Linked DNA regions of Saccharomyces cerevisiae S288C. The gene in region 3 interacts genetically with the main gene of each other region. Each region holds a gene or a part of one and is shown on either strand. Other genes may lie near its edges.

What was found.
Region 1: mutations in NTF2 (region 3) and NRT1 together harm fitness less than expected from each alone (positive genetic interaction), as found in Saccharomyces cerevisiae (one large-scale study listed by BioGRID).
Region 2: mutations in NTF2 (region 3) and YLH47 together harm fitness more than expected from each alone (negative genetic interaction), as found in Saccharomyces cerevisiae (one large-scale study listed by BioGRID).
Region 4: mutations in NTF2 (region 3) and ULS1 together harm fitness more than expected from each alone (negative genetic interaction), as found in Saccharomyces cerevisiae (one large-scale study listed by BioGRID).

The regions. Positions count from the first base shown.
Region 1 is NC_001147.6:458,067-463,942, forward strand, and holds NRT1 (nicotinamide riboside transporter), read right to left. Parts: upstream 3,211-5,876; coding exon 1,414-3,210; downstream 1-1,413. Other genes in the region: YOR072W (uncharacterized protein), read left to right, coding at 3,436-3,750. UniProt on the Saccharomyces cerevisiae protein: High-affinity pH-dependent nicotinamide riboside transporter which also transports thiamine with low affinity. Involved in 5-fluorocytosine sensitivity.
Region 2 is NC_001148.4:785,667-791,130, reverse strand, and holds YLH47 (Ylh47p), read right to left. Parts: upstream 3,171-5,464; coding exon 1,806-3,170; downstream 1-1,805. Other genes in the region: YPR127W (pyridoxine 4-dehydrogenase), read right to left, coding at 11-1,048; high-affinity Cu transporter CTR1, read right to left, coding at 3,703-4,923; AXL1 (Axl1p), read right to left, coding at 5,460-5,464. UniProt on the Saccharomyces cerevisiae protein: Involved in mitochondrial potassium homeostasis through the mitochondrial K(+)/H(+) exchange regulation.
Region 3 is NC_001137.3:170,476-175,032, reverse strand, and holds NTF2 (Ran GTPase-binding protein NTF2), read right to left. Parts: upstream 2,919-4,557; coding exon 2,541-2,918; downstream 1-2,540. Other genes in the region: YER010C (bifunctional 4-hydroxy-4-methyl-2-oxoglutarate aldolase/oxaloacetate decarboxylase), read left to right, coding at 1,695-2,399; GTP-Rho binding exocyst subunit SEC3, read left to right, coding at 3,215-4,557. UniProt on the Saccharomyces cerevisiae protein: Facilitates protein transport into the nucleus. Interacts with various nucleoporins and with Ran-GDP. Could be part of a multicomponent system of cytosolic factors that assemble at the pore complex during nuclear import.
Region 4 is NC_001147.6:689,195-698,580, reverse strand, and holds ULS1 (translocase ULS1), read right to left. Parts: upstream 6,107-9,386; coding exon 1,247-6,106; downstream 1-1,246. Other genes in the region: SPR1 (glucan 1,3-beta-glucosidase), read right to left, coding at 6,549-7,886; IES4 (Ies4p), read right to left, coding at 8,607-8,957. UniProt on the Saccharomyces cerevisiae protein: ATP-dependent helicase involved mating type switching and in silencing interference through its interaction with the silencing regulator SIR4. Cooperates with UBC4 and UBC5 to mediate ubiquitination of SUMO conjugates.

The DNA.
Region 1 (5,876 bases), on a different chromosome or scaffold from region 3:
CGGGGAGCTTTGTTGCGACTTGGTACCCGGCAAGCCGCGACCTATATTTTGCATTAAACGAGTTCATCGTGGATTTATCGCCATGAGCCTTAGCTTATCAAGCCTCTCACAGACAATTAAGCAATGAAAAAGGTATACCATCGGCGCAGAATGGTTAACTAGTGGGTTCATACTGCTGTGTTATAGATTGTTACCTAAGTGATCACCAAAAAAAAGTGCAAAAAGGAAAAAAAAATAAGAGACAGGTAACTTCCACAAGCTTATTCTTCCAAAAATCAATCTTATCTTCATGCCAGCAATAGTTGCGTGCTGAGCTCAACAGTGCCCAACCCTTGTGCACCGTAGAATTGTAGAATACAAATACATAAATAAGTGTGTTCCCGAAGGACTAAGGAATGACGGCAGAGGAGTCTTGTGACCGCCCTGCTGCAAAACTTGGCAAGGACAGAAATTAAGTAATAGATACGCACAACCTTGGAGCACCAAGAAATGGCTGCAAAAGTAAATCTATAGTATTTCAAGCTGAGATATGATAATATGTTCAAAGGGCTAAAGTCTCATGAAACAGCGTCACTACAAGTCACATAAAGTTCGTACAGCAAGTCTATGCATGCTTTCCTCAAAAGAACTACCCAAATATAAACACATATACAAAAATTCAGATTTTACATTTCAGGTTTCCATAATATGTTAAAAGCTAGATCTTACATAGTGTCGGGAACAGGTCATTCTAAAAAAAGTAAAATAAAATAAAAGGGTTTCAAAGATCCATACTTCTCTACATTCTCTGACTTTTTAAAACTGTGTACTGGCGACCAATCGACAAATCTGCAACCCCAGCTTCATAAGCTTTCTCTCCCACCAGCAAAGCCTGGACCTCCCTGGTTCTAATAATGAGCGACTGAAGTTTTCCAAAAGAAACCTTCACTAAACATGTTATGCTCCTCAATCACGCGATGAAATAAAGGCCTATTTTTTGATCCAACGCCTTTGAAAATTTCCTTATGGCTGGGTGGGGTACCTACCATGAACATGTTAAAGGTAAGTGGTGGCATATTATGGAGTTACGCCCGTATACCAGAGTAATAATGTTGCCGCCGGATAGGCATGGCGCCCCCACCGGATTCTCTTGCTATATGGATGGCATAATTAGCTTATGAAAGGATTGGTAAGAATATGTCTTCTAGCAAGAAAATACTAAGAACCAATAGTTCCTTTTTTTATAAAATTATTGAGCCATACACAATAATGCCGATATTTGTCACCATAGACATACTTGACAGTAAAGTATTTGCAGCTGAGGATCGATCTGGTAGTATTCCCAAATTGTAAGATCTGTACAGATTTTCAAATGAAGCGTTGAAGTTTCCTCTTTGTATATTTGAGATCTTCATTTTATCGGATTCTTTGTCATCAGACAACTTGTTGAGTGGTACTAAAGGAGTGCTTTTCATCATCCTTTTGGTGAACGATTTCAAATACGTTAGTGTTTTCTGAGCTAGTTTTGATCAATTCAGGTGATTCGTTATCAGAACTCTCAGGTTTGTATTCGTGTCCAGTTGTGTAGCATTCGCCTAACGTGTAAGCACGGATTTCTTCCTCAGAAATTTCACTGTATGGAATCATGCCCTTCTTTCTCGCTTCTTCGTCGGTAAATGCACCATAGTAATCTTTGTCATCATGTCTAACAGTAATTTTGAATGGGAAGAAGACACATAGCCCCCAGTAAACGAAAAAAGAAATCAAAAAGGAGAAGAAAGAATCACCATAAAAGAATTTAACAATACCTGAGTCGTGGAAATAGTTATTGTTGACTTCCCAAGCGATACCAGGTAGACCGGGAGCCATACCACACACCCAGGCAACGATAGCTCTCCAGTTGACACCCTTGGTAAAATAGTATTCACCCTTTAGAATAAAGGCATTAGTAATGGAATATTGCCTCTTCCTGATCAGAAAGTTATCACAGATCATGACAGCAATAATAGGAGTCATGACAACACCGAAAGAACTCATGACAGTTAAGAAAGTAGAAGAAGAGTTGTAGAAGTTCCATGGCAAACAAGCCCAGGAGATACATGCGCAAAAAAGAGCACCTCTCTTGATATCGACGTATTTGGGCAACAAACCGGCCATATCCATACCAGTGGCAAACCCACAGTTGGAGATGGTGGAGGACATTTGAGACATGGTAAAGCAAAGACCACAGAAGAAGGCACCTGCGCGAGCGCCTGCAGAATAGTTGTTTGTCAACCAATAATCGAATATATCCATGGGCATCCAAAATTGTTTACCGTATAATTTGTCGCAGGTGGAGGCACTAATGACACCGAAGATTGGGACCAAGGTTGCTGGGATTAGTAATGCACAGACGCTACCGGTCCAGATAGCCAAATTGGAGGAACCGAATCTTGAATAGTCACTTTGGTTGGTGGAACCTGGAGAAATGGAACCGAACCAGTATGAAATCATGTAAACCCAAGCCCATGCTCTTTTAGAACCAGTAACGGTAGATTTTGTGGAGGTAAACAATTCACCGACACCATGGGCATTCTTAGTCAAGTAAATCACTATACCCAGCATGGCAAAGCAAGTAGCTACACATGACCAAATTAAAAGGTAGTTCATATGGTAGGGTTTCATGAAATAGCAGAGCGCGGTGAGGACGTGGAAAATAATGAAGCCGACCAACTGCTTGGTGGTCATGGCAACACTTGGGGACAAAGTATTGGGCAGGTGCAGATAGTGGTGGGACCAGGAATCTAATATCATGTTGATAGATAGACCACCCAACCAAGCGTTGGAACCATAATTGACAATACTCATCAAAATTCTAATGATGATACCGAAGGCTGAACCGTAAATGCCAAAAACGAATCTTTGGGCCAAGGTGAAACCGATTTTCCAATCATAACCGGGGTAAGAGTTGGCCATAGTGAAAATAATGGTCAAGACATTACCGAGAAGAAACGAAACAATGGTCTCTGGGTAACTTAGGCCGACACTTAGTGCAGCAGAACCACTCATCCATGTACCTGCTGTAAAGGACACAGCGCCCCAGTACGCCAAATTAGACCAGAACCCCCATGTTTGATTTGCAGACTTGATAGGTTGCAAATCAGGGTTCCTCAGAAAATTCACGGCAGTCCTATTTTTGGCAGGAATTTCTAAATATCTCAAAAACTTAGAGACTATACTACTGAAGCTCATGATGATACAGGTGCTGAAGTCCTTTTTTTGATAGTTATAATGGGGATATCAGTACAATAAAGAATAATATAAATTCTGCAATAGGAAATAATATAGGTAATTGTTCTTGATAATTCTGGAGTTTATAAGATTTTAACTCTATTTATGAGAATAGAGAAGGAAAATTAAAACTACAATAGCGAATGCAAATTTTTTTCCCCGAAGAACAAATAGCGGTAGCAACACATGCTGACGAAAGTTGTGTTCCTCTTTTTTTGGAGCAGGTCTGACTCAACTAAAAAGCTAGCTGCATGCAACCACGCTACATTGGCACACTATATCCTGACGCCCGCGCTATACTCTGACGCCTGCGCTATATATTCTGACGTCTACTCCATAACTATTATAGTAGTGGCCACTGTTGTTCGTAACCCGGCGCGGTGTTCGCTCCGAGCACGAAAATTCTGTCGTTTATTCTCTTCCTTCTTCCAGTTCCATTACTTAAAGGAGCTGTTTTATTTCATTCGAAAGCCCGATGACAAATTCTCCTCTTTCATATAAATTAATAAGGCGGTCAGCAGGAAACTCCTATTGCCAACCGTCTTGCGAACCGACCGGTCGCTGCGCGCGATCATGCGTCCACGCGCTTCTGTGGCGACGGACGACTACAGCAAGACATTACTCTGGTCATTTACGCCTGGCGCCCAGAATGTACAAGCGCAGACGGCCAGATCATATGATGAAACGGAATAGTCCCAGCTATACCGGTGATCACAAGACGTAGTTACATAGATGCCTTGGCGCCGACACGATATTTCTTGTCGTTCTGTGCCAGTAATTCCTTTTCTTCTCGACTATGCCTCTAAGACGTCAGTCTTGGAAGCATAGTCTTCGTAAAAAAATTTTTTTTTTGAGGTTTTTGCTTCCATTTCTTTAGACTGAACTAATTTATTTTTTTTATTATTATTCAGTAATTTTTATATATTTATTTATGGACTTATTGAGGTGCTTTGGGGGTGATGACGTCCCCAGTGAGGCCCCCAGGGTAGTGGACCGCACCTAACTTCCCATTCATGATGTGATTACGCATTTTAATCTTGTCTATATGTTCTACAATGATGGCGTCAGTGCCAATGCCGTTCGCATCTATGAGGGAGATGAACTCGCTCTCGGCCGTTGGGTTTGAGGCGGTGCCGTAGTGTCCGCCTTCATTCCGGCTTCGCGGTGTCTACGAGGCATTCATTTTATGTCGCGGCAACTACTTGATATTTTCCACCAGGCACAAGGAGAAACATGGAGAAATTATATATAGAGAACTATGAGTCCTGAGGCGGCCGTTCAGTAGCTCAGATTGCCAGGGTTAAAAATTGCTCCTTGGCATCCTATGTGCTGCATACTAAAAAATTTTTAGCCACGTAGTTGTATACTTTTGTTTCCGGGGATGAGAAATTAGCCCCAGGTCCCAGACTTACAACAAGGTAGATAGGGGGGCGCACCTTGTCGTCATGAGACCCATTTCGTAGAAACTTGAATTTGTTGTTGTTACTTCTGTTTTCAAGTAGGAGTAACGAGGCCGCGTACAATTTGCCAGTGGATTTGTCGCCTGCAGCAGCGGCCGCGACGCGACGGGTTGATCCAATTTTGTGCTTGCTTCTTCAACTGAATATTTTGAGTCCACTGCATGTGGAAAACAGAGTTTTCAGTCAGTCTTGTATGTATATTATTCTCTTTAGCTCCAGAATTTCTGCTGTGCTTAGTAACTTCTTGCCGTTGAGCTGATTTTAGTAGTATAATTTTTTTGCAACTCTACTGATATCAAGAGCAGTGATATGTGCTTTAATGTTGGCATTTCTTTCAAGCCAATCACCTTCTACCATTGGTCACGGTCTCAGTATATTTGTCGTAAATATTAGTACTCTAGTCTGGTCAGAGAAGTGGCCTTTCTCCCACCAAAACGTTGTTGTTCTGTCTTTTTTCTTATTATTTACTATTTATTGGATTTATCAAAAATTCCTCAGGAACAAGATTTAATATTCTTGAAAATCCTGTATGTCATAAATCATGAGCTTGGAAATTGACACGAAATATCGGATGGCACTACTTGATGATCGTTTTTATCACTACCGCTGTACTTTAATTTCATAATTTATTTGGTGACATTTCTCTTGAAGATCTGGCAAGATGTACACGGGGAGCTCCTTCAACTGTTAAAAATATTTTTAAAAGTAAAGACGTCACCATACTTTTTCACCATAAGAACAATTACTGGTCCAGATTAAGAACGGTTGGAGTAAGAGCCAATTATCATTCATTGACTGGTATTTCCTTTTGAACTATATTATCATATAATAGGTAAGAAGATGGCAAAAAGGAAGGAGAAACAGTGGTCTGATGTGATAGGGAAGTAAATGTCAACAAATACCTAACAGTACTATCTGATCGAACAAAGAAATTCCACCAAACTGTCAGTAAATTTATTTAATGAGCAGCAAGGACATAGTGCACAACTAGCACTCTACTTCGATTGGGTTATTGAGGAAGAGGATAGTATGCCCGGAATTTTCAAGCATTTACATGATTATGGTTTCATTGGGGTGCAAGAAGACCCAGCATGATTAGATTGCTATGTACTCATTATATAATATATCTCCGATGAATATATTTCCGAAAGTTTACTGAAGGCGACC
Region 2 (5,464 bases), on a different chromosome or scaffold from region 3:
TTTTTTAACCTTACGCCATTTCGTATCTGTCACCAACAGTATGGAAAGTAGTCAAATATTTGTTAATGGCATTGAACTCTTGATCGGTAAGTTTGGTTTTCTGTTCATCAAAGTTTTCATTAACCTTGGAAATAGAAGAGCCACTTGGAATTGGGATAAATTTGGCGCCACTGTATTCCGGAACTTTGTTCCAGTGCTTAACCCATCCCAAAGCCAGTTGTGCAAGAGTAATGGAGTTGTTTTGTGGGCGCTTGTCGACTATTTCTTCCTGTAGAAACCTGACCAAGGTCAGGTTTTTTTTCAAAGACTCGTCGCTAAATCTCTTTAACGACTTTCTAAAGTCACCCTCAGGGATATCAGCGTTTGACTTCAATTGACCTGTCAACAATCCTCTGCCCAGTGGGGAGTAGCAGATGATGGACAACCCCAATTCAGCACATGTTTTAGCAATTCCGTTGTGTAAAATGTCATTACTGAACAAAGAAAGTTCCACTTCAACGCAGGTCAAAAACTTTCCCCAATCCTTGTGAATAGCTCTAATTTGCTCTTCATTAACTTCACTTAATGAAATACCGCCAATAACGCCTTCGGAGATCATCTCAGCAAGCGCTTCGAACGATTCGTAGGGGTAGACCTCTCCTTTCGTGCATAGGGAAGTGTCGATTCTTGCGACTTCGAAGATGTCGATGTAGCCACCAATAGCACTAACTGAATTCTTTACGCTTTGTACAACATCATCGTGACTGCCTCTGGGGGTTAAGGTAGCATTGTCTGCACCACCTTTACAACTGATAACCACATCCTTTCTCAAATCTGGGTATTTCGCAAAGAAGTCGTGAACATACGACAAATTAATAAAATCGGGACCATAGAATTCACCAACGTTGAAAAAGGCCTTGTGCCCACGTTCTCTGGATAACTCAACCACTCTGTGCATGGCCTCGAAAGCCTGCGACTGAGGGATAGGCTCGGCTCTCCAAGTCAAACTCATTAAACCATAGCCAGTATCTAACTTGTGGATGTTGTTTTTCAAATCGGCGACAGACATTTTATTTTTACTTTTTTTGGTGTATATTTTAGTTAATATGTACCTGTTTTTCTATTCTACATAACATAGAAAATGGCAAGGAAAATAATTTTAAGAGAGAGTCCTGAGATGAAGTAAAAAATTTGGTAAATTGACAACCCCTTATATAATAAATGCCTATTCTACGGTTCAATAGACACTCTATTCTTTGAGTAATTTTGAGGGAGAGCAGCAATGATTAACTTAGTACCGTTCTACCAAGTACGCCCTTGATTACCTCATTAACGAACAAAAACGCAGATCCCTTCCTAAGGCGGCCGAGACGGCCGCTTCATCCGTCTCGGCCGGGTGTCATTCTTCTAATATATTTGGTAAAGGACTTGGGAGATGCGCAAAAGGGAGATAGTTGCGCTTTTTTTTTGTCTAACAACTAACGGGTAAAAATGTGGACAGCACGAGGAGTAGTTTAAGAAATAACTTTAAAAAAAAATATTGGCAAAGCAGATATGCAAGAAGTTACGGGTAAGGCTTCTAGTAGTCGTGCATGTGTTGATCCCCTACGTTGATACTATCTATGTGTGCAAACACCAGCTTTACAAACAAAAATTTCATATAGTAGTGTATTTTATTTATCTTATGTACAAAATCTATAGTAGAGTTCACTACATTTTCTTTTCATTGCTAAAAAAGCAGTTTCGTGCAAGTATGTATAAAAAGAATGTTGGCGAGAGTAGCGGAGAGTGTATCGTGCGGTTTAATGGGCCAGGTGAAAACTGGGTTACTTCTCTTTGATGGCAGCGGCTTCTCCGATAGGCTTGGTGTCATGCGGTTTTACGTCTGGAGCAGCCGCATCTATGTTCTTGTCTTGGTCGTCCAAGCTCAACTCATCCTTGACGCTCACAATGGCGTTCTCTTCTTGCTGCTCTTCTTCCTTCATAATTTCTTCTTGCTCCCTCAATTGTTTCAATTTTTGCTTAGCGGATGCCTCATCTTCCTTAACGACGTTTACTTTAACCTCATGGTATAGTTCATCAGGGATACCGATTAAAACGTCACATAATGCGTCGTACAATGACTCCTTTGATTGCACATTACCGTAGTTATAGGCAGTAGCCATGATTAACAGCGTGGATGGGATCTTATCCTTGAGCCTCATGTTCAGCCACAATCTTAGATTCGAATATAACACGCTAGGCTCTACGTCTACACTTCTAATACCTCTGGAGGCGCATGCTGTTTTCAATTCAGAGAGGGAGAGTTGTTCTGCATCCTCGTAATATATAGATAGATCATCTTTTTTCAATTCAAGCATTTTGTATCTGATACGGTAACGTAGCATCACATCAGTGCCGAATGGTTGCAAATTCATATACTTCGCTAATGCAATCAAGTAAGGTCTTGTCACATTATCCAATACAGTATCATCAGTGAATAATCTAGCTACTTCGATTAGCTGTTGACGAGACTCCGGCACTCCTGTAGCACGGACATGTGTGTAGAACCTGTTAAACAAAGCTTTTTGTTCCTCGGAAATATTATTAGGTTTAAAATGGGACTTGTTATTCTTTATGATTTCAGACATTAACTTCCTTGTGTTTCTTAAATTTTCTAGTTTATTCTCGCGTTTTTTACTTGATTCATAAGTAGAAGGAAGTAAATTGGGGAATAACTTTAATGCAAATGGAAGAAGAAGTTCAGCAAAGGGTATAATGAGGAAAGCAGCAAATGGAACCAACCGAACGATATCTTGAGTAGTTCTTTTCAGTTGTAAATTTTCTCTTCTCGTCAATGGGTAGCCTGCAGCACTCTTCATGAGCAATTTGGAAGAAATTTTTATCTCCAACCCCAAAAGTTTGGAACCATCCCAATAATGACGAAGGGCTTTTTGCATCTTAACCTTAAAGGGTACTTTTTCCTTCTCTTTTACTGGAGAGACCTTACTCGCACTTTCTTGGTTTCCGTCTGTCGTTTTTAACTCCTTTTTCGAGCTTTCTGGCACCGAAGAGTTCCAACGATTGAACTTCAAATTAAAAGATGGTATTACTCTCAACCTGCTTACCATAATACGGGGAGAAATTGGAGTAATTCCTGGTGCCGGATGATGGATTGCTCTCTTGATTGGCAAAGACCTGTATTTCAGCATTGTGTCTTGTTGATTTCTTTATGAAATTTTCTTTACTCGAACCTAAATATCACTGGCAAAATACTTTCAATTCGACAAGTGTTACTTTATGCAGTTATCTTGTTATTTCGAAAATTGCCACTTTGCCAATTAGATGAGACTGACACGATCTGAATAATGTCCTCTTTCAAATAAAAGTGGAAAATGTTCGCGCGGAAGCAATTCTGTCCAACGAGAAAAAAGAAACGTGGGAGACAACGGTAACTCGATGAAGGCAAGCAAGTATCATTTTTAACACTTCACTCTTATTATTGCAAGGTGGTAATATAGTTAAGGATTTTTGAATTAAAATTACTTAGACATTCAACTATATACAAGTCTGTTATTTATAGGAAGGTCGCTGTGTCTATTATTTTCTTTCCTCTTCATGAGGGCATTAGAAGTATCCATTTTGAGATTTTTTTTGAGCTTCTGAGAAATGAACGATATTCTTATTTTGATGTATAGAGATATTGGAAGAAGAAGATATAGGTGGACGAACCTTGTCTAGTTATTAGTTATGAGTGAATTTTTCGGCCGGAAGTAAGTTTTGATCCATATTCCCGGACTGTTCCTGCAACTTGGAATTCTCAAGGATGTCGCGCTCTATGTTTGCTTGATTCTTTCCTGAGTCTGTGGCACAATTACATCCCTCTTCTTGTGTAGGTGTTTTCTTTTGATTATTTTCGGAAATCGCAACTTTAGATTCGTTGTTCTTTTCCAGGCGAGTACTTTGATCACTTCCGGAAGTGGTATCGGCAACAGCAATTGGATCAGGGCTGGGTTCGGGATGTCTACCACATTGGCAGTTACCGAAGCCAGGACAGCTCTTCGCTTTCTGAATTTCTCTTTGGATGTCCCACCTCTTTAGCATGGCTATTTTGCATCTATTGAAGAAGACTTCCGATAAAGCTAACCCAGTAATTACAGCAAAAACGTATGTTAAAACAAAAGACATGGTAGCAAGCATCAACATATAAATAATCATCGTAGAGGTAAATACTAAGAACGCCCTTATAATGTCATGAAAGAGATCCATTAAAGATGGAACAAATATATCGCTTAATAAATTTGGCAGCTTAGGTAAACCTTGAATTTCAAAATTATTCTCTGTGTCATAATGTTTTCCTTCGTCTTTGGAGTTTGCTGAAGGTAAAGTGGAATATTTATTTTGCTTGTCCCATTTTTTAAACCAGTGAACTTCAAGGCACCAACTAACGAAAAGCAGTAGTTTGTAGACGAAAGCAGCCACAACAAATAATAAGAAAATACCGAAAGCCTTACCACTATTGTTTGCATGCAAATGGTGAAACAAAACTGGATAGTTTTTATATGTGGGAGTCAGATAATAGTTCATTCCCATACTCATGTCCATATCCATCCCTGAAGAGCTACTGTTATCAGACGATGACATACCTGACATGCCTGACATGCTAGAATCAGAAGTTGTCTGTGCACTGGCGGAGCTTGTTGGTGTACTGCTCATCGACATAGACATACCTGACATTGAACTGCTTCCCATCGACATACTTGCCATTGACGACATAGTCGACGCCAACGTTTTGCTCGCACTGGACATCGCTTCCATGCTCATCGATGACATGCTCGATAATATCGTTTTGCTGGCACTAGACATCGCATCCATGCTCATCGACGCCATACTCGATGCTACTGTCTTGGATGCACTAGACATGGCGTCCATATTCATGCTGCTACCCATATTCATACCTTCCATTTTGAATGTCAAATATAATACACTTTTTTTTATTTTCTATTCGATTCTTCCAACAAATGTAATTTGAGTCGCCGCCGAACTATTACTCCACCTGTTTAAGTTTGTGCTTAAAAGTTTTGTTATGCAAATAAAGCTATGGAGTAGTTGTTTATTAAGAGCACACTGCGTATCTGTTTTACTAATGTGAACTAATCATAAGAGGAATAAAACATACAAGACCCTCTCGAGATGACAATACAACATTTTTTATGTTGCATTTTGTAGCCCGAATCTTGAAAAGTGCTCTTTTCAGGATCGTGCCATTTTTGCTCATTTTACCGTCGTCTTGAGCAAATATCCCATGATTTGCATCAATACATGAGAACATAACCACAGTAACGAATAGTTGAGGTGCAGTTTCGATCCTTAAAAATTACTGAATAATTCATATGCTATTTAGGGAAGTATTTACGTATCGGTTTGTAGTATAGTAGGGAAATGTGCCAAGTTGCTTAGATAACAAAAACGTGGAAAGGCTGGAACGAGCAAAATACGGTTCAAA
Region 3 (4,557 bases):
TAGAAGCAAACGACGTAATGCCGTGGCTGACTGGCATACACTGGAAATCTGTACCAACCGTATAGGTGAAAGAGACCCTTTATGGAACGAGAAAGTGCATTCTTCCCGCTATTGTATTGTTGGGTTCCTTAAACGATGCTGTAAAAACCTAAAACATGGTGCTGAAAATAAACGCGCGAAGAAAGATGGATCTAGCCAGGCACGGAAACGGAAACACGTACTAAAAAGGGACAGGCACTAAAACGGGTCTGGGGTCCTCCCTATTCTGCTTCGAAGCGCGCTCGGAAAACTTCCTTTTATAGCCGTCGTATAGAGAAAATTGAACCTTATTAGATCTGGCGATGGATTCTGTCATTCGTTGGGAACAATGCAGATTATCCAAGTTAGATGGAAACGGTTCACTTTTGCGCTGCAGGCTGTCGGCTGGGCCTTACTATTTATGGAAATCATTTATCGTTCTGTTTACACCCTTTAAGAAGATGGAGTAAAGTGTTGAGCGTGTTAGCTGATAATGACCGTTTCATAGCATTCAAAAACCGTTGCTGTGTAAAAAAAGTCTATTTCCATTGTGGATTGATAATTTTAAGAGACAAGCAGTTCCCATTTTTGTTCTTGCAGCAGATATTTTTAGTCTTCTCTCGAATAACAATAGAGAAAAGGCGGGTATGCTCAGATAGCACATAAATTATAAACAATGCAAGGCCATAAACTTGTAGATTGTCTTTTGTATCTTTTGACGTGATCAAAAGTAATAATAGCAGTGCTTATTTGAATTAAGAGTAAAACATAGTAATACTGGAAATAAGCCGGGATATTTGTAGATATGTATATGCGCAAGAAGGTGCCTATAGAACTGGCAAATGTAGGGAATGAGAAAATCTCTTGACACTTTTTGTACGCAATTTACTTGGCACATGAAGGCACAATTAAAAGCTACTCGCCCTTGTAAATTTGACTAAAAGATTTTCGTAGTCTATGTCTCCAGTTTGAATTGAACAACACCACGCAGTCTAGTAATGTTGAAGGCACCCTTTATGTGCAAATAAAGAAAACTTAGCCGCATAAGGTATCATTGCTGTAACTCCATGACTGTTATCCCCCGAAGAACTTTGTAATAACAATTGTAAGTTTTTAGGAAAGGTTCACTGTCGAGAATGACACTTTGGGTTAAGCATTTTAACAAATATTTTCGCTAGACACTGTGTGATGAAGCTATTTCTGAATAATTTTATATTTTGCCTTGAAATTTAATCATGAAATTATATCTGTAAAGGAAAATTAGGGAATGAAATACAAACAATACGAACATAATCCGTAAAAGTATAAATAATCCAAATACAAACTATACATGTGTATACAAGCTCATTTATAGAAATAAAAAGCAGTCGATAAGGAGCAGATAATCTGAGATCTTGCCCACCGCGTTTGGAGAATACCATCAGCTTACCCAAATAATCAGGAAAACTGCAAGCCCAGCTATTTTGCCAATAATAATTTCCGCCACTTAGGTCTGTATGTGAGTCAAACGTTGCTCATTCATTAATCTCTATGATGTATTACAGCTGGAAGTGATAAGAACGATAAAAAAAAGTGATCACCTTACTTAGCGCGAAAAAACTTGAACTGTATGGCTTTCCATAAACTAAACCAACTTTTAAAAAAATTAACAGTATAAGTAGAAACCGCCGTCCGCAATGTCAGATCTTCAAAAGTTACAGAGGTTCTCAACCTGTGATATTTCGGACGGATTGTTGAATGTTTATAACATTCCAACGGGTGGTTATTTCCCTAATCTAACAGCAATTTCTCCACCGCAAAATAGCTCCATAGTAGGCACTGCATACACAGTACTGTTTGCACCCATTGATGATCCAAGACCTGCCGTGAACTATATAGACTCTGTCCCTCCCAACTCAATACTCGTCCTCGCACTGGAGCCCCATTTGCAAAGTCAGTTCCACCCATTTATTAAAATTACGCAAGCGATGTACGGGGGGCTGATGAGTACCAGAGCACAATATTTGAAATCGAATGGGACAGTAGTCTTTGGACGCATAAGAGATGTGGATGAACACCGGACTTTAAACCATCCCGTTTTTGCTTACGGTGTTGGATCTTGCGCTCCAAAGGCTGTCGTTAAAGCCGTAGGCACTAACGTACAGTTGAAAATCTTAACGAGTGATGGCGTAACCCAAACAATATGTCCTGGTGATTATATTGCAGGTGACAATAATGGAATAGTACGCATTCCTGTTCAAGAGACTGACATTTCAAAATTAGTTACCTATATCGAAAAGTCAATTGAAGTGGATTTACTTGTCTCTGAAGATATTAAGAATGGTATTCCCGCCAAACAAGCTCAAAATGATCGAAGATCAGTATTAAAGAAATACATTTAAAAACGCTATCTTCATACATATATATATATATATATCTTCTTTATCGCTATCGCCTTATACATCGTTAGCTAAGCATCTTCAATTATGCTAAACAATATTCGAAAATGAAAATACATGTTTCTGTGGTGACTTAAAAAATCCTTAAGCAGAGTAATTCAAACGGAAGATATCGTTAAACACGTAGTAAGAGTTTCCATCAGGAATCAAATGGAACACTTGAGAGAAACGCTGTGGATTTTGTTCTTCGTCAATCAACAGATCACCAGTGATCATGACTAAGACATCGCCATTTGGGGAAGCAGGTTGCGCATCCAAAGTAGTGATACGATGTTGGACCTTTTGAAATGGCAAAGATACTAATTTCTCAACAATGTCCTTTGCACCTTGCAATTGACTAGTCTCGAATGTTAGCATAGATTCATTTCTGTACAAGTTACCCAATTGGCTTCTATCGGTATCAAATTGATTATAGTAAAACTGGGTGAAGTTTTGGGCCAAAGTGTTAAAGTCGAGAGACATTATAAAGATAATAGTATTAAAACCTGGGTTCCTTAGGGGGTATTGTACACTAAAAACTAAAAAGTACTTACTTATCAGCCTAAGTCTCACCTTGCCAAGTCAGAAAATTTTTCGTTGCTTTTTGAGAACCACGCTTGTGGGACTATGTCACCCGGTATTAATGGGCAAATACTAACTTGGTGAACACTTATAGCAATAACAGTATCATAGCTTATGAAGAAAAAGCGGTCATAAAGACTGAGTCGGTGCCAGATATCTCCAGCTAGGTAACAAGGCTACGCAATTTATTCTATATTATGAGGTCCTCGAAGTCTCCTTTTAAAAGGAAGTCTCACAGTCGTGAGACATCACACGATGAAAACACATCGTTTTTCCACAAGAGAACAATATCCGGTAGCAGTGCTCACCATTCTAGAAACGTCAGTCAAGGTGCAGTACCCTCTTCCGCACCACCTGTTTCTGGTGGAAATTATTCGCATAAGAGAAACGTGTCGAGAGCTTCAAATTCCTCTCAAACTTCGAATTTTTTAGCCGAACAATATGAAAGGGATAGGAAAGCCATAATTAATTGCTGCTTTTCCAGACCCGACCATAAGACAGGTGAACCGCCGAATAATTATATTACACATGTCCGGATTATAGAAGATTCAAAATTCCCTAGTTCAAGACCTCCTCCAGATTCAAAATTGGAGAACAAAAAGAAAAGACTCCTTATTTTGAGTGCCAAGCCCAACAATGCCAAGCTAATACAAATTCATAAAGCAAGAGAAAACTCAGACGGCTCTTTTCAAATTGGTAGAACTTGGCAGTTGACCGAACTAGTAAGAGTAGAGAAGGACCTGGAGATATCTGAAGGCTTCATTCTTACCATGAGTAAAAAATACTACTGGGAAACGAATTCTGCGAAGGAAAGAACTGTTTTCATTAAATCTCTAATTACTCTATACATTCAAACATTCGAAGGTCATGTCCCTGAATTGGTCAATTGGGATTTATCCCTTTTTTATCTTGACGAGAGGAGTTATCAAAGAGCAGTCATCACAAATCGCCCCGGTTCCGTATCTCCAATAAAGTCACCTACAAGTAATTTCACGACAAACACTACCCAATCGGTGGGCTCTGTCCCCTTTTCAGCACCTACTGAGAGGACAAGAAGGTCTGAAACAGAAAGCGTTAATCCAGTGTCAACGCCTGCAAGCGTGGAATATCATGCAGGAATGAAATCTCTAAATAAGGCCCCCTATTCTTCCAATTCGACATTGAATGAAGTGAATAAAAGATACGAGTTAGAGCAACAACAGCAACAAGAAGAGGCTGAACTGAGACGATTAGAAGAGCAAAAAAGACTTCAGTTACAAAAGGAAAATGAGATGAAAAGATTAGAAGAGGAAAGAAGAATAAAGCAGGAGGAGAGGAAAAGGCAAATGGAATTGGAACACCAACGACAACTCGAAGAAGAGGAACGAAAACGTCAAATGGAACTGGAGGCTAAAAAGCAAATGGAGTTGAAACGTCAACGGCAATTCGAAGAAGAGCAACGCCTAAAAAAAGAGAGAGAACTATTGGAAATACAGAGAAAACAAAGAGAACAAGAAACAGCTGAGAGATTAAAAAAAGAAGAGCAAGAAGCGCTTGCTAA
Region 4 (9,386 bases), on a different chromosome or scaffold from region 3:
CAGATCACTGTTTTTGTTTGGCTGATAATTGTAACAAGAAAAAAAAACTACCGCTTCTTTTCAGTATTTCTGTTGAGGATGATATTTTCATTGATTCTCTTATCAGCTTCAGTGCCGATATCCTATCAGGCTCTAGTAGGGCTGAAAATTAGGTGGAGGCGATTTTGTTACTCTTTTGTTCAAGTCTGAGCTTATGACGTCCTGCGACATACTTTTCTTATTACGTACTTATGATAAGTACCGGTTGCCTATGAGAGGAAATCGAAAGTCATTAAATCAAAAAAAAAAAAATAACTTGCATTGCATTGTGCGATTAAAGAGCAAAACTTATTTGATAAGAAACCTTTTCTAGAGCATCTGCGCCACTTATTTGAGAGGTCAAGTCTTGTTAGTGAGAAAGCGCGTGAAGATAGAAATTATAAATTACCAATTTATTTTCAGTATAGCCTTAGAAAACACAAAGGCACATGGTTGTATAGATCTATATAATGCACTGACTGTACCTTGTTGTAAGGAAGTTAATAATAAGCAACCTGTTCGGGCTGAAAATCCAAAAGAAAAGTTGACGGTCTATTAGTGGAACAATGAATTTGAACTTTACATATAAGGGAATGTGTCTTTACTTTGATCTTACAGCGAAAATTACTGAAATCACAGTTTACGTATAAAGCACCCCCAATCCACGTGTGTTTTATACGCTTCTCTTTTATAGGAATATAAGATCAGCTTTGATTATTAATTAATACTGTCATTTAATTGCCAGTTATCATCAAACGGGATATTTTCATCGGTTCATTAATGTATGGTAGCTGTTGCGAGCGTATAATTATACTGGCGTTTGAAGATTACATATATGATGAGAAACAAAAATCAAATTTAGTAACAACTGTTAACGATGCAATAATGAGTTAAAGCAATTAACAGGAGGGGGAAGCAATTATGTTATTCGTGGCATTGTTGATAATCTTTTGTGGATTTCCAAATCCAGGAGACGAGCTTCTTATATTGTATGTTACTAATGGTATTTTCTTTTTCAAAAAGTAATTCAAACGATCATATCAAATTTCGCATATTTCTTATACTTAAAGTAGGGCCGATTTACGGCTTATTTTCTGTTCCATTAAATGCCAAGCTCGTAAGTGCCAACGAGTGAAGTTACTTAAGCCTACAAACTAGAAGCTTAGCCACCAATTATCAACATATACATATGTGTATCGCAATAATGCTTCAAAATTCACCAAGTTCTTCAAAGAGCGTTTAAACCAAATAAAAATCCTAACTCCCGACGCCCTAAACTATTCACTTCCTTTATCTTGCCTGGGTCCATGGCAGAATCGACCATTTCCTTCTTTCTCTTCTGTAATTCAGAAATACGATCCTCAACAGAGTCCTTTATAAACAATTTATGCACCTGGACTTTTTTTGTTTGACTAATTCTATAGCAACGGTCTTGAGCTTGTTCTTCGACGTAAGGATTCCAAAATGGATCAACTATAACTACATGGTTCGCACATGTCAATGTTAGTCCTGAGTTACCGGCTTTCATGGAAATCAGAAGTATCCTTTTCTCAGGGTCACGATAAAATTCGTTGATAACATCTGATCTTCTCTGAGCGTTCATTGATCCAATATATTTCAAGTAGGGAAAATTCAGTTTATTTTTGAGAAAATGTTCGAGAATCTCAAAAAATGTTGTAAACTGGGAAAAAATAATAATTTTTTCGGTTGCTGATTCATCAAAAACTCTTTGAATAACCTGTATACATTGCTCTATCTTCGTAGATGGTTCTAAACTCTCAAAATTTGGCACATATACATTTTTTTGCTGTATTTTTTGTTTCTCCATTTCACTTAAATACTCTGCATGCAAATCTTCCTCAGTAAATCCCTGGTTTATTACCTGGTCGTATAACTTGTGCGAAACAATATCTTTCTCGTTTGTCAAACGTTGACAATCTTTGCATGGGATAGCAAATGCCCCACCTTTGGTTTTCTTGGCCTGAGGTAGCATGGATGACTCTTCGATGAAGGGCTCGATACAAGTGTCGCAAATCAAATGACCACAACCTGTCAGAACGGACATCGCTTCTGGTTCTAATTGTTCCATGCACCAGAAACATGTCATAGAATTCATTGAAGTAATAACCTGAGCCTGCGCTTCTCCGCTCATGTGAGTGATTTTATAGTAGAGCCTGAGCCAGTCATCTTCAAAGCTTTTGCCGTTAGCTACCTTTGTACCTTCCGCTTTTTTTTCTCCCATCACAACTAATTCTGAATGACAACAAGCCTGCCTTAAGCGAAGTAGTAATGTGAGAACGCTAGAGTAGCTCCCCCTCGTAGAATTGTTCAACAATTTCTTAGCGAGTGCTTGATTTTTTGATTCCAAAGCTGTGTAAAATTTTAATTCCTCTCCCTTCAGGCGTGATTCATCTACTTCCACAATTTTAGGAGGGAGCTCCAGTAAAGGTTTGCCGTCGATCTTATCAGCCTTAGACCGACGAAGCATAATGGCATTTAGAAGGACTCTAACCTTTCTTAATGCGTTTTTTCTATCCTCGTTATCATATTGATATTGCTTATTTCTCTGAAAAAACCTTCCAATGTCTAATTTAAACCGTTGCTCCTTGTGGTAGGGTGGAATTCTTAGAAATCTTATCAAGGAATAAAGCTCATCCATACTATTTTGAATCGGCGTACCAGACAAGACCCACCTATACATTCCATTTATAGTACAGCACGCTTTAGAAGCCCTTGTATTTTTGTTCTTGATGTTTTGGCCTTCGTCCAGTAAAATTCTGTAAAACGTTGAATCATTGCAGAAAAATGGAGAGTAGTATTCATTTGAGGTTTTCAACCTATTAAGAGCTTGTATATGAGGCACAGCTGGTAGCTGATTTTGTTCACCATCCAGTTTTTTCGGCCAATGTTTCTTAAATTCGTTTGCTAGAGTTTGATAAGATACCAAAACAGCATCATATCTTGCCAAATCCCTCCAGTGCTTAACTTTTCCGTTACCTGATCCTCCAAAAATAAATGTAGTAAATTTTGCGCGTTTTTTTACTTTCGTTTCTAATTCACCTTTCCAAACTCTCAAGACTGAGACTGGTGCGACGATCAAATTGGTTTTACATTTGGATTCCTCTGAGCGATTTGCTAACATCAATGCAATAGCTTGAATCGTTTTACCCAGGCCCATATCGTCAGCAAGCAGACCCCCTTTTTTTGCGGAGTTTTCAACTTGTAACAACCAATGCAGACCCAGCCTCTGGTGTTTTAATAAGTTTACGGTCATATCCTCGGGAGTAAGTGCTTCGCCGTCTATAATGGATTCAGATTGTTTGACATTCTCTAAAAGAGCCCTAATCTGTTCTTGATCTTCTGCTGCATGCATATTAGAGATGTGAAATTCATCTTGCATCGATAGATCATTGGCTGTAGAACTAGTATCTTCGGTATTTTCCACGATGTTCCAGTTTGAAGGAGGTCGTTGATCTGCGTTTACCGGAAATAAATAGCTTTGCTGCAGTAATTCTTCACTTGTTATTGGAATCTTATATCTTCTCAAATTTTCATATAGTCTGTCCATCTTAAGTCCTTGTTGTCTTAGCCCAACAACAGCTTTTCCGACGCCTTCCCTTTTTAAAGGAGTAGGTGGAAATCCGGTGTCAATATCTTTACGAAATTCTTCAATTATATTCAAAAATCGAGTAATCTTTCGTTTAGCATCCTCTGATCTAGTAGACTTTGATATGAGATCGCGTGCAACTTCGATGCTTTTAAAATATTGGGCTCTTCTGTCAGGATTGACAATGGCTGGATTAGAAAACTTGATGCCGTAATCTTGTAATGTTTCAAAAACAATGGGCATCTTTACACCGTTGGTGAACAATATTTGGGCCGATTCATGTGCAACGTGTCTTCTGTTTATATCTATTAAGGATCTTCCGTCTTCAAAAAAGTTTTTATAAGAGACCAAGTTGTCCAAATGTCTATAAAGAATTCTCTTCGTCATTTCTGTCCTGGATGTGTTCTTGGCTAATAAATCTTTTGCAGTATCAATGGACTTAATAAATAAATCTCTTTTGGCGAGAGGTTGCCGTACTATTGGCAATACACTATTGATATCAGTTGTGCGTTGGTCCCCCAGTTTCAAGTCATTCAGTTTCTGCTGGATCTCCCCTGTTAACTGCTTGTAGGTACTGAAGCTTAGGGTTCCTTCTTTTAACATTTGGTCTAGCTTTTCTTTCTCAGCCAGGCATTCGTTTCTTTTATTTACGGTCGCAGAAGCTTTACTATCCCTGGCTGACCGCTCAAGGGCAGCCAAAGATTTCTGCAGGTTTATATTTTTCGAATGCACAAAGGACTTCCATTGTTCGTTATAATTATACATTTTCAAATTGATTGAATCTAGCTTCGATTTTGTCAACTGTCTTTTTTCCTTCAGTTTGTTTAATTGGTTCTCAGCTTCATCAACTAATATCTGCTGAGTTGAGCTGATAGTTCTTCCCCCTCTAGCCATCGATGTCAACAATAACTGCCAATGTTTTTCAGCATCAGAGACCTCCTTTTCTCTTCTACTTAGTTTCCTTCTTAAAATTTCAGAGTTTGTCTTGCAGCAACTGAGAGCATTACGTAGTTCAGACTCTCTAGAATTCAAATCCTTCAATAATTTTTGATGATTTTTTTTTAGAGTATCAAGTGAACTGTTACATTCGTGTTGAGAGGATTGAGTAGCTTGTTCTGTCATGATAGTTCCTTGAAGAACTGACGAACTCGAGGATTGTGCGTCTGTTTCTGATGTAGGAATTGAATTGCTGCCACTTGCTTCTTTTATTACTGAGTTATTCAAGTCAATATTGGGTAGGTCAAGTAAAGATATGACTTCTGGTACACTGCTCCTAAGCGCATCAGCTGTATTTGGTTCAGAAACTTTCAAAGGACTTTCTATATCATTGATACCGGCACCAGATTCGTCCTCATCTGAAAGAATAATAATCGAGCTATTTTTCTGTTCGGAATCATGTGAATTATGTGTTGTGTGGTCCATATTTTTTGAGGGCAATATCGGTCTTTTAAGTATCTTGTTATCTGCAAAATCTCCGCTATGCTTCCTTTTAATCTTACGACCAAAATCGCTAATATCGACAGGTTGTTCACTAAAGTGCTTGAATAGTTCACTTTGTTCTTGCTCAAGTAAGGCAACATTATTTTGAAGTCCTGGAAGACGAACGGTCGTCTTCCCCTCTACTTTGGCCGTCTCGTTTTTAAGGGAACTCTCAACAGAGCTTAGATTGGACGGTAATGCTGGCGTTCGCTTTTCATTTACGATGTTAGGTATAGTGTTTTTGGAGTTATTTTGAGTTTCAGAATCCTGGAAAGCACTAGATTCAATAGGTAAATCACGATAACTTGTTGTTGTGACTCCTTTTATTTGGTCTTTGTTTTCGCTCTTCAAACTGTTATCTTTTGTTTCTGGGTCGCTGAACTGTTGCTGTGACGGTTTGTTATTCAAGTTTAACTTCTCCTCTTGAAAATCCAAATTGCTGTCCTGGCAAGTATTAGGCTCGAAATCATCTTCAACGCCATCGTAGTCTTTGGAGACGTATGAGGAAGAAATGCCACAGATATTTTCCTTCACTTGCTCATCCTGATTTATTCTTTTACCTTCCTCTTTTTGTTTAAAACTATCGGATAACGGCACATCATCGTTTTCATAAAAAAGTTTTATCATCTCTGCGCTTGGGCTGCTCTCTTGTGTTTTCTTCTCATCGTTGGAAGATCCCATCGTTTCTTCCTTCAAGACTTGCTGCTGTTTTACTTCGTTGGAAGATTTTTCATTGTTGAAGGTACTGTCTGTGATTGTCTTGCTCTTTGAAAGAATAGTATCGAAGGTTTCATTATTTGATATGTTCGTCTTGAAAACATGGAATGCTTGACGTGCTGCATCGTCATTAGATTGGGCGACTTCCAAGCCTGCCATTCTTAATTTCCCATTTTCTTTCCTAATGTCTATCTTATCCACACTTGTTGAAGACGAAAAAGAATGGAATATGTCTTCATTATCTGAATCGGCTAGTGTAAGGTCGATGGTGGGTACTGCTGCCATTTGACAGATGTTTAACCTAAAGATATAGTCCAGCGTCTCCTTTCAAGCACTCAAAAGATAGATGTAAAAATCGGTATAGACGCCCTGTCCTGTTCTTTCATAAAACTGCGGAGAGGTTTGTATTTATTTATTGTTTTTCTTCCTCTCATATTCGTTACATAGTCTAAGTAAACTGTCCGGTAATATCGAGAGTGACCCGTGTCTCGTGCTTCTCTTCCGCCTCACGTAATATCAACAGGTAATCATCATGAGCTCCCCATTCATAGTTCAGATAAAAAGTGAAGTAGCGGTTGATGGAAGCACTTTTATTTGCATAATTATAAGATATAAAGTATTTTTTATTTGTATACCTCATCATGTTATATAAAGAGTTTTAGATGGCAATTTTTTCTCCAATAATAATCATCACATTCCCAAGACCTTAAATATATGCCACAAAATTTCAATGACATTGGTTAGGATATTTCCTATCGTTGATAGGTTGCGGAAAAATGTTGAGTTGAATCAATTTTTCAACATCCCATTCGATACTATTCTCTGTCTTGTAACACCACATTATCCATCCACCAGTCATTTCAAAAGCATCTAATTGAGCCTCGATAAACTTTCTAGTGTTCTGTTTTCTCTCTTCGGGCCACAAGGCAATATTCTCGTTGTTTGCACACGTATTTATGTAATGAGATTTTTCATTGTCTTTGGTCCAACTTCCATCATATCTGGCACCTAGACCAACCCCATTTAACCACTTTGTACAATCTGTTAAGGCCGCTGAAAATTCGCCTGCTACGGACCAATGCTTCTCGCTTACGGCATCTTTCCCCCATTGGCAGGCGATTTTGATACGTTCATTCATTTTTCTTGTTAATTCCACCTGCGAGAACACCTGATAATGATGATGGTCAATTATGACGCCATATTCGTTCTTTTCATCATTCAAAAACCCATCCCAATAATGGTAAGGTTGAAAAGCATCATGTATTACAATGATCTGGTTGCTATTAATTTTATTTCTCAAATAGTCATAAGCCGGCTTCAAAAGCAAATTTTTCAATCTTTCCATGTCAATAACTGGACCTAACGGTTCATTGAGCAATTCGATTCCAATAACGGTGTCCAGGTATACGTCTGTTGAGTATTTGCTTAAAATATACGTTAAAGCTTTCATGGTGGCGCTTAAATTTTCATCTTCCAGAAACTTATATGAATCCCTCAACCCTGAGTTATCAAATCCGTTTTGTGAACCAGCGGCTCCATGAAGATCAATCCATACTTTCAAACCATATTTCCTAGCCCAATCGATAGCCCGGTCTAGAAAATATTCCTGCTCGGCGGTAACATAGGGATCATGACTCAACGTTGTAAAGGCCCAATACCCAATAGGAATTCTAACCAAATTGAAGCCTTGAGAAGCAATTTTCGCGAAGTCTTCCTCTTTATAGAACGTCGACCAATGACTATAAAGGCGTTCCTTTGCCTTTTCATAGCCTAATTTTTCACAAAAATGGTATTCATCAACAGGAATACCGTCATCGTTGTACGGATTAGTACGGAAAGTCTCGAATAAAGAAGGTGTAATATACGGCTCCAATACTAGCCACCCACCCAAATTGACTCCATGAATTTTTTCATTGATGGCTTGATTGTTGATGGCAGAGTATATACTATCCTTTTCTTTATAAATAAACTGTATAGAGTCCCTATTTTTTGTGGAAACAGGATTACAGTTTACTAATTTGGTAAAAAGTAGTGTTAGTGTAGTCAGCCCTCTGAACGAAACCATTTACTTCTAAAGTTTATAAAGATTTTATGCGGAGCACCTCAGTCTTTCTTTCGAATCTTTGGATGGTCTGTTCGCAATTGAACAATTAAAAGAGAAGGGTAAAAAAAATAATGAATGTGAGGTTGTTCTACGCATGGAAGTTGCTACAAAAGGGGTGGCAACTGATGGAAAGACTTTTTACACAAAGATTGACAGCATTACTGACAAATTTCTAATGAACCAGACGCGCCGCTTCTTTTAGTGTCGTTTGGTAACCGCTTTTTCTTAAGCTGGCAGAGACCGCCAAAAATAAGAGAGTCGCTTGTAGTGGGACAAATAATGAACAGAGAGGCTTTTTGATACCAGTATCGTTGAGTTGGGAATGAAATGAAATATAACGATGCAATCGTCGCCATTCCTGTCAGAATATAATCGACGGTCATGTTATATAATTGTTTTATAAACGCCCACTTCTTGGCTGTATCTTTTATAATGTCCTTTTTTCCTGAAGAGGGTTTCCATCTAATTTTCTTTTACAGTCTGTAGCCTTACTTCTGGCCCTTTAACTAAATACATTTGATTTATATTGCATATTTACTCATACAATTGTATATTTGTTGTTCTTTTTTGGTCGGCTACCAGATTTAGTACTTAATGTAACCAATTTGTGAATTTCATAAATGACGTGCCAAACTAGAAAGTGTGGGGCCCTGAGAACAACTTTAAGCTGTTGACATTACCTTATGAGTCCAGTCCATCCTCTCCTTCTTTTTCAAGTTGTTTTACTTCAGGATCCTCATCTGCTGGTTCTTTTTTCCTTGTAGCTTTGTCATCTGATCCTTTAACGTCAGATGCAGTAAACTCGCTTCCCCTTTGACGTTCTTCTCTTACGTCTCTTCTTATCCAGCCGGTGAAATTTACCTTATAACCACTGAAGCTCTTGATCTCTATGGCTTTATTCTTGTAATCCCACGGAAGTACAGGTTTGCTATTATCTCTCGAATTGGCAGAGGGAGGGCTTGTATCCTCTATTTTAGGGTTATTGGCTAGTTGTTCTTGCGATTCTGATAAAACACTACTTTCTTGGGACATACCACAATTACTCGAGAAATTGGATTTATCTTCCGGCCAATATAAGTAAAGAATGTGTTGGCATTATAGTACATTTTGTTGATATCTTTAAAATTACTTGGATTATGAGAATGATTACCCGTCAACTGCTTGGTAAAGTTTTAACGTTCAAGAAAAGCTCTAGACGGCGTAACGCACCTTTTGTTATGAGCGTTAGAAAAATTAGTGACTAAGAGGATGAGATGATAAAATGCATATGATGTTGAATATGGAAAATAAAATGTTATATTCTTACTCAACGTAACCTGCCATTTGTAGGAGTTAAAAATTATGTAGTAGACTTAAATCTCTCCTTATTGTCCTAAATACTTGTAATTACATACACATATATATGTATAAATATTCGGGAAATTTTACAACTGTTGAGATTTCATAAAGATGATAATTTCA